2 linked regions of the Rattus norvegicus genome follow. The protein of the gene in region 1 purifies or fractionates together with the protein of each later gene. This does not show direct contact. Links are inferred from orthologs where the notes say so. Each region holds a gene or a part of one and is shown on either strand. Other genes may lie near its edges.

Region 1 (3,691 bases):
GGTAGTTATGAAGAAAAGAGGTTCGATTTGTCTCAGAGTTAGGAACCCGAGGTCTGTGACTGTATCTGGTGATGACCTTCTTGCTTGCAAAGACAGAGTGGGCACCCTAAGCTACCAGGACCCGCCCATGGGATGCTCCACCTTAACAACCTTGCCTCATCTGAATCACTTCCTCTCCTCATAGTCAGGATTGCTTTTCTGCGTGTGAACCTCAAACCTTAGCAGACCTGTTCTCACCAGAGCAGATAAAGAAATGGAGGCCCAATAACAGTGCGAACATTAGTTTCTCCAACATTCTCGGTGGCTATACGAACACACTTGAGGGCAGGCCCCATGCCCAGCAGTAGGTGGCTAACACAAAGTGAACTCGATGGTATTTTTTAGAGGTTTTCTAACTCATAATGCTTTACCTGGGCTACTGCTGCTGCTGCTGTTGCTTCCTCCTCCTCCTCTTCCTCCTCCTCTTCCTCCTCCTCTTCCTCCTCCTCTTCCTCTTCCTCCTCCTCCTCTTTTTCTTTCTCCTCTTCCTCCTCCTCTTCTTGTTACCTTACAGGTCTTTTACTTGTGCATTATGGTTTTTAGTTTTGTGTTTTTAGATTTGTGTGTATGAATGTGTGTGTCTCTGAGTTTCTTCAGGTTTTTTGTTTTTGTTTTGTTTTCTGTTTGTTTTGACCTATTCTGACTGGTTTGTTTGGATTTTGTATTGTTGTTGTTGTTGTTGTTGTTGTTGTTACGTTAGATTCCTGTTTTGCTTTTTTTATGAGAGAAATAAAGGGGGTGGCTTTAGGTGGGTGGGTGATCTGGGAGGAGTTAGGGAAGGGGAAACCATAATATGAATAAATTGTATGAAAATATACTCACTTTCAGTTTAAAAAATAAAATAAGGTAATTTAAATAAGAAAGGAAAGAAAGAAGAGAAGAGAAATGGAGGCCAGGGTGACATAGTGAAGCCAAGCTGAAGGTGTAACTCCCGAGTGGTCACCCTTCCTCTTGTGTGTGTACACTGAATGTGACACTGATCTCCAGGTCCCCAGCTGCCTGTGGCTCACTTAACTGTGACTTGTCTTGTCTTCTTGGTACAGGGGCCTAGGCCATGGCGCATTTGGGGAGGTGTATGAAGGCCAGGTATCTGGAATGCCCAATGACCCAAGCCCTCTACAAGTGGCTGTAAAGGTGAGGGGTGGCTCCACCTTCCGCCTAGCCTTAGCCTGAGGTCCCTGTGGGCTACAGCCACAGCTCACAGCCACCTTCTCCTCCCACCCTACCTTCCAGACGCTGCCGGAAGTGTGTTCAGAGCAAGATGAGCTGGACTTCCTCATGGAAGCTCTGATCATCAGGTAAAGGCACAGAGGCCCAGCCTCTCCCCCGACCCCTCAAGGCATAGAAAGATCTTTCTAATGGATGGGGATCTTTAGAGGAAACTGGATATATGTTGGTCCCAACATCCCCCTACCCACACAACCACGGGAAGGACCCCTGAAGTGGAGCAACCGCCCATGATTATCTCAGGAAGGATCTGAGTGGCCTAATTACTGATAGCACCATGCCTCCCCAGCTTCCTAGTGCCAGCCATTGGCTCCCATTCCTCACTTAAGGAAGCATTCTTGCATTAGATGGTATCTCCCACCCCATCCCCCCCCAAGTGACTCTTCCAGAGCTGAGGTCCTTGGACATAGAGTAAGGAAACCAATGAAAGATAGCCGACCACCATACCCCACATCGACAATGACAAGGGCTGCACCCTAACAGATAAGGCAGGCCTGCATTGAAACCAGGAACTTCCTGGGGGTAGCAATTCAGGTCTCTTGAAGGAGGAGGCAGACAGTTGTCCTTGTGACCTGAAGGAGGCTCACAGATGTCTCTGGCGCTATGATGCCTCCAAACATCCTGACCCGGGGAGGTGGCCTGGAGTGGTCCAGGTTGAAGCAGCAAGAATACAGCCAAAAGCTGTCTGAGTGATACATTTATAGGCTCTGGAACGTGTGGAAGACACACTGCCAGGATAGCACTTTGCTTTAAAAAATAATATTTATTTTCTAGTTATATATGTCATATAAGAGTAATAAATAAAACCTAAAACGTATAAGATTACATAGAAGGAGAGCTTAATCATGTAGTATTCCTACTAGGTAGTAATAAATGGATATATTTCAGCATATAATCACCAGTCTTTCAACTCAGAGTGTGTGTGTGTGTGTGTGTGTGTGTGTGTGTGTGTGTGTGTGTGTCCATCTGGGGTTTCCTAGCCCCACTGTTCTGCATATCCTAAAATGACAAGATAAACCAAATCTCAGGACCTTGGGTCCTAATCAGTCCCTGCCCATGTGGAGTCTTCAGAAGACTATGGAGATCAGTGGGCCATCTCTCCCCCTGACACTCTGTCACAGACTGTCACCACACAGGTCACACGATCTCCCTTTCAGAAGCCACTCCTCCAACTTCTGCCTGAGACCTTCCTTAGAGAATTCAGGTATAAATTCATGTAGCAGTGCTCACACAGGCAAACTCTAAAAACATCTGTACACATGCAAACACTCGCATACACACACACATGCACAAACACATACATACATATAAATATGTGTACACATGCATACACACAAACACATACAAACACATGCACACATATAAACATACACCAAACACATGCAAATATACACACATGTGCACACACGGGGCATGCACACACTCACACATGCAAAGTACACATACATGTACTTTGTCACCTCAAAGTCCTCTGACTCCAACAGAATCCTTCCCTGTTAATTCAGCTCCTGCCAAGCCTGCTCAATGTATGCATCTCTCCAGGGAGGTTTACTTCAAGTTCAACCAGAGACCCCTATTTATAGAATATTTACCCATATTTATAGAATATAGCGTCATGGCATGGTTGCTGAAACCATGACTCTCTGCCCTGCTTTTCTTGATGGTCCCAGACCTGGCTTCGTTAAATTCGATTATGCCCTCTGCCCTGTAGTAAATTCAACCACCAGAACATTGTCCGCTGCATCGGGGTGAGTCTGCAAGCCCTGCCCCGCTTCATCCTGCTGGAGCTCATGGCTGGTGGAGACCTCAAGTCCTTCCTCAGGGAGACACGTCCTCGCCCGGTGAGTGACAGCGTCTTCTCTCATGGCTCCCAGGGCTCATGTCCGGGGGAGTGGGTTACAAGGGAAGTACTTGCTTGATGGGCTCCTAGGAGTCAGCCCTGGGGTTTCGTCATGAAGAGAATGGTCAGAATCGAATGGACAGAGAGTGGATGGTGGACGAGAACCTAAGGAGACTGTACAAGCCCTACACGATAGATTCAATAACCTGACTCATGACCTGATGACTCTGGACCAGCAAACTCGGAGAGGGACTTGCATGCTAACTGTGTCACTCACTGGCTCTCCATCCGAGGATTCCGAACCCACTGATCTCTTCTCAAAAACAAATATAATAGGCAGCACCCTGACTGTGTAGTTTTCAGTATAATAATAACAATAATAATAATAACAACAATAATAATAATGACAATGACAACATCATGTTGGAATACCTAGGAGGTAGTATGTATGCCTGTGGTGTCCTGTATGAGGGACAGAACTTGTGAAAAACTCTAAGGTACATCCATGAAGCCCAGCCTTTAACCCCTGCATGGCCATCAGGCATCATACAACACGGGGCAGCCTCACTTTCTTTGGCCTTAGCA
Region 2 (4,142 bases), on another chromosome or scaffold:
GTGTCCTGGGGAGGGCAGATCCAGGAGGCCAGTTAGCTAGAGTTTACCTCCTGACCCACTAACTCTGTCCTTTTTACATATTTCACAATCCTTGTGCACCACTTCTTTAGCCAGTATTTTCTCCCTCCCTCTTTTGGTTTTTCAAGAAGGATTACTCTGCATGGCCCTGGCTATCCTGCCTCTTGAGTGCTGGGATTCTTGTGTGGCCACCACTCCCAGCCTCTAGCCAGCATCATTTCAGCCCCTAGTTTCTTCTTCCCCACCCGTCTTTTCTCTGTTCCCCAACTCACCGGATCCCCACCAGACGCGAATGAGATAGATTGCATGTGATGGTTGGCAATGATCTGATGAGGGCAGGGTGGAGAAGGAAGGAATGGTAAAGGTCAGGCAGCCTCAGGGCTCCACGTGAACCCACCCCAGCATAGAACCTTGGAGCCCCGGGATCATTCTCTTGGCCTTTTACCCTGCATTCTCCTAATTTCTTTCTTCTTTTGGTGGGGTGAGGCACAAGGTCTCACTATGTAGCCCTGACTAGAACTCAGATTCCTCTGCCTTGGCCTCCTGGGTGCTAGGATAAAAGGTATCACTATACTCAACCTTCCTAACTTCTTCCTCTTCTACTCTCCAGTTCTTCCTGAAGACTGCAAGTTTTTGGCCTCCAATCCCCACTTGATGCTCCCATAACTAACTATCCCTGGTTCCTTCGAGCAGCCTACCCACCTGTTTGCAGTCTGCTGCCATGAGGTTAAGGCTGCTGGTAGACACAGTGAGAGTGATCGGCATTCCAGCAAACTTCAGGTTACTCCTTCCCAGGATAGAGCTGAGTGGGCGGCTGCAGGGCTAGGAAGGGCCCAGAGTCTCAGAATCTGAGTTTTCCCAGCATAAGGAAATACTCACCTTCTCCCGACACGCCCTGCACATGCCTTCCCCTGCCTCCAATCACCCAGCCCCAACACCAACCACACATACCTTTCTCCTCCTCATCGCCCCTTTGGCACCAGGCACAGCTTCACACACCAAACTGATAGCCTCCCTGGAGAAACAGGAGTACTCAGACCCACCATGGGCCTCCCCCTGGCTAGGGCTGCCACAGAGCTGGGGGAAGGGAAGACCAGGCCAGATTCCCAGAGCACTCCAGGCTCTTTGTCGTGGTGGATTGAATTAAGGGCCTTTAATATTTGATGACACTGAGGGGCCGCTTCCTGGCTGATTGGGTTAGGGCCTCAATGGCTGCAGCTCCACCTCTTCCCAGCTCCCGAATGTTCCATCTCCTTCCCTAAAGCATCAGCAACCTCCTACCCCTGCTGCCTTTTCTAGTCCATCTTCCCACAGTCTCCAAGGCTGGATAGTTAGGTGAGGTGGTGCTCCACACCAGAGCTGGCTCCTTCCAGTCAGAACTACTTCTGTAACTTTCAGTTCTCTGACCACCCACGAGAAATCGCCATCAGCACCACCACCAAATGCCCAACTTCCTCCTCTCCCTGGCTGAGATTTCTGTAACTTCAATCCCCACTAACCTGGTGACCTGAGTCCGGGTATTGAAGTCAAGGGCTCGCATTGACTGTAAGACCTCCACGCAACCCATGTACTGTAGGGGAAGGAGGGAAGAATGGATCAGCTGTCCCCATCCCCCACCCCACACTTGCCAGCCCTTTGCAGAAGGTTCTAGGGCTTTGCCTTATCCCTAAGGAAAGTAAAGGTGAAGTAGCTTTCCTACTGCCTGGGGCTACCACCCCATAGGTGTACTGTGAAGGGGAAAGGGGAAAGAGGAAAGAAAGACCGCAAAGAGGAACTTCATGCACCACAGAGACATTATGAGAGGAGTAGCAGGTATTGGGTAGGATGGAGTGACATCTCTGGAAAAAGGAGGAGTCTAAAGGGAAGAATCAAGAAGTCATTTTCATTCAACTTTTACCAAAAGCCTCTGATGTGCTTGAGCATTGTGTAAACTGGGGAGTGGGGACCAAAGGAGGAAAGGCAGAAGATTCGCAGGCTAAATTAAGGGCAGAGAACTGGAGAAGGAATGCACCAGGTTTAAGAACTAAGAGAATGGCACAGATGTTCCAGGGGGAAGAGCAGGAAGTCCCGACAAATCTGGAGGAACTGGAAGGGGTATGGGGAGAGTAGAAAAGGGGATATGCACTCACCCGAACCAAGTAGGAAACCCCAGGTCCCATGACTTTGTCGTTGGGATGCAGCCAGCCTCGTGTGGGCTTATTGACAAAGCTCCCGTGTCTGGTCCACTCCTCGCCCCCCAGCTGGCCCCCTTCTACCCGAGTCCTGCGCCCGCCGCCTCCACTCAGCTTGTTCATGTCCTGGAGGAGGGGCAAGAGGCCTGAGTCCCGAAGGGCTGCTCCTGCACTCCCTTCCCCATCTTCTGCAGCTTTTCCTGGCTCCCCTTTAGGTCCCAGGCGCCCCCCAGCAGGATTGGCCAGCTTCAAGTTGCTCATCCGGGGAAAGAAGGAACACAGGGTAGTCGGGCTATCGTCCCCCGGCAGAGGAGGCAGAATGGGTCCCAGGGATGAGGCTGATGGGGAAGGCAGCTCCTCCGGTGGAGTAGACCCTGAAGCCCCCTCCTCCAGCGATGACAGAGACTCATTCCGAAGTGGGTTGTACTTCGGCTTGGGGGGTAGAAGATCCATGGCTGGGGTGAGAAGGGGGGCTGCTGCCCGGCCCGGCCCCCCTGCCAATTCAGGCAAGGGGGCCAGGCAGGGGGCATCCCCAGACCCTTAGCCTAGTCTGACCTCGGCAGCCGGGTGATAACAGAGGACCTGGGGAGGCGAAGGACAAGTGACCTCTGCTCTCCCAACTCAGACCTAGACAGTTTCAAACCACATCCTGGCCCAGCCCAGCTAGGAAACCTCGTCTGGCTGAGGAGTACAGGCTGGACCCAGAGCTGACTGGCTCCTCCCCAGGGGCGGGGAACTAAGGAGAGAAACCAATCCCCAGGACAGTGCTGACTCACAGGCTCAGAGGGGTTGAGACACCTCCCCACATAATTTGTGTTAGCCAGGCCACTCTCCCCAGCCCAATACAAACAACTAGTGATCTGTCTGGGAAGGAGGAGGTGCCGGGCAAGAAAGAAAGGAAGAATAAGCAAAAGAGAAAAAAGAAAGGAAGGAGTTAAGGAAAACTCTGGACCAATCCAAACAGACCTGGGCAAGCCAAAGAGAGCAGGAAGACCGGGAAGACTGGGAGGGATAGGAAGGAAACAGAAGCTGCTGGGCGGGGAGTGGGGGGAGGGAAGTTGTCCCTCAGAGTTTAGCATTTCCTTTCCAGACCCGGCTGAAGACGTGAATCCCTCACCCCCTAGCCCAGACCACCCCCACCCCCACCATACAGTGAGTGAGGTGGTAGCTCCAGGGAACCTGGGCCATTAGCATCCACCCCAACAGCTGAGGACCAGAGTTGAGAACCAGGAAGGGAAGTAGTCCCAGTGGATGTACTGCGAGGCCCAGAGGAAAGACAAAGCTGAAATAGGAATAAAGGCTAATTCGGGTGGTGCATCTGGGAGCTACCAGACAAGAGCTAGAGCAAGGCTGTTTCTACAAGTCACCAAGGACCAACAGACTTGGGGGTGGGGGTGCTCTTCCAGAGGCCTAGTGAGGAAAGCCCCCAGAGGATATAGAGATCTGGCCACCCCTTAGACCTACAGATATACTTTTACGCCTTATAGGCTACACACCCCACCAGACAGTGTACTTCACACTAGTAGAGGAGTTGGCCTTGGAGGTAGGAGAAAGAAACACACAGAACTGGTGCCTACAAGCCACAAAGGGATAATAGGGCCATAAACAAATCTGTGTTAATAAAGACAGGAAGGAGAAAGGGATATCAGAAGCTGGAATCTGGCCATAAGTGCATAATAATACCAAACCCCTATTTCTTTGCCCACAGTTTCCTGCCACAGCTCTGCTGAAGGCCATTCAGGAAGTTAAAGAAAGTGACCAATCAAAATAGCTCCGGATTAAACTATAGCTTTATTCACTTTTTAAAAAGTAACCAAACACAAGAAGTAAAAGGTACTTTTTTGTTTGTCTGGTTTTTCAAGACAGGGTTCGTTTGTGTAACTACATTGACTGCCCTAGAACTTGCTTTGTAGCTCAGGCTGGCCTCAAACTTACAGAGAATCACCTGCCTCT

Evidence for each region. Proteins that work in one complex are often made in the same cells at the same time.
Region 2: the proteins of Alk (region 1) and Shc1 purify together in Homo sapiens (affinity purification with mass spectrometry; 3 studies listed by BioGRID and IntAct, with this or other methods). This does not show direct contact. The link is inferred for Rattus norvegicus from reciprocal best matches to the Homo sapiens genes ALK and SHC1.

What each region holds. Positions count from the first base shown.
Region 1 is NC_086024.1:29,320,396-29,324,086, forward strand, and holds part of Alk (ALK tyrosine kinase receptor precursor), read left to right. Parts: intron 1-1,082; coding exon 1,083-1,173; intron 1,174-1,272; coding exon 1,273-1,337; intron 1,338-2,977; coding exon 2,978-3,107; intron 3,108-3,691. UniProt on the Homo sapiens protein: Neuronal receptor tyrosine kinase that is essentially and transiently expressed in specific regions of the central and peripheral nervous systems and plays an important role in the genesis and differentiation of the nervous system.
Region 2 is NC_086020.1:177,137,256-177,141,397, reverse strand, and holds the start of Shc1 (SHC-transforming protein 1), read right to left. Parts: upstream 2,851-4,142; 5' UTR 2,643-2,850; coding exon 2,148-2,642; intron 1,589-2,147; coding exon 1,518-1,588; intron 1,034-1,517; coding exon 970-1,033; intron 841-969; coding exon 721-840; intron 345-720; coding exon 291-344; intron 6-290; coding exon 1-5. UniProt on the Homo sapiens protein: Signaling adapter that couples activated growth factor receptors to signaling pathways. Participates in a signaling cascade initiated by activated KIT and KITLG/SCF.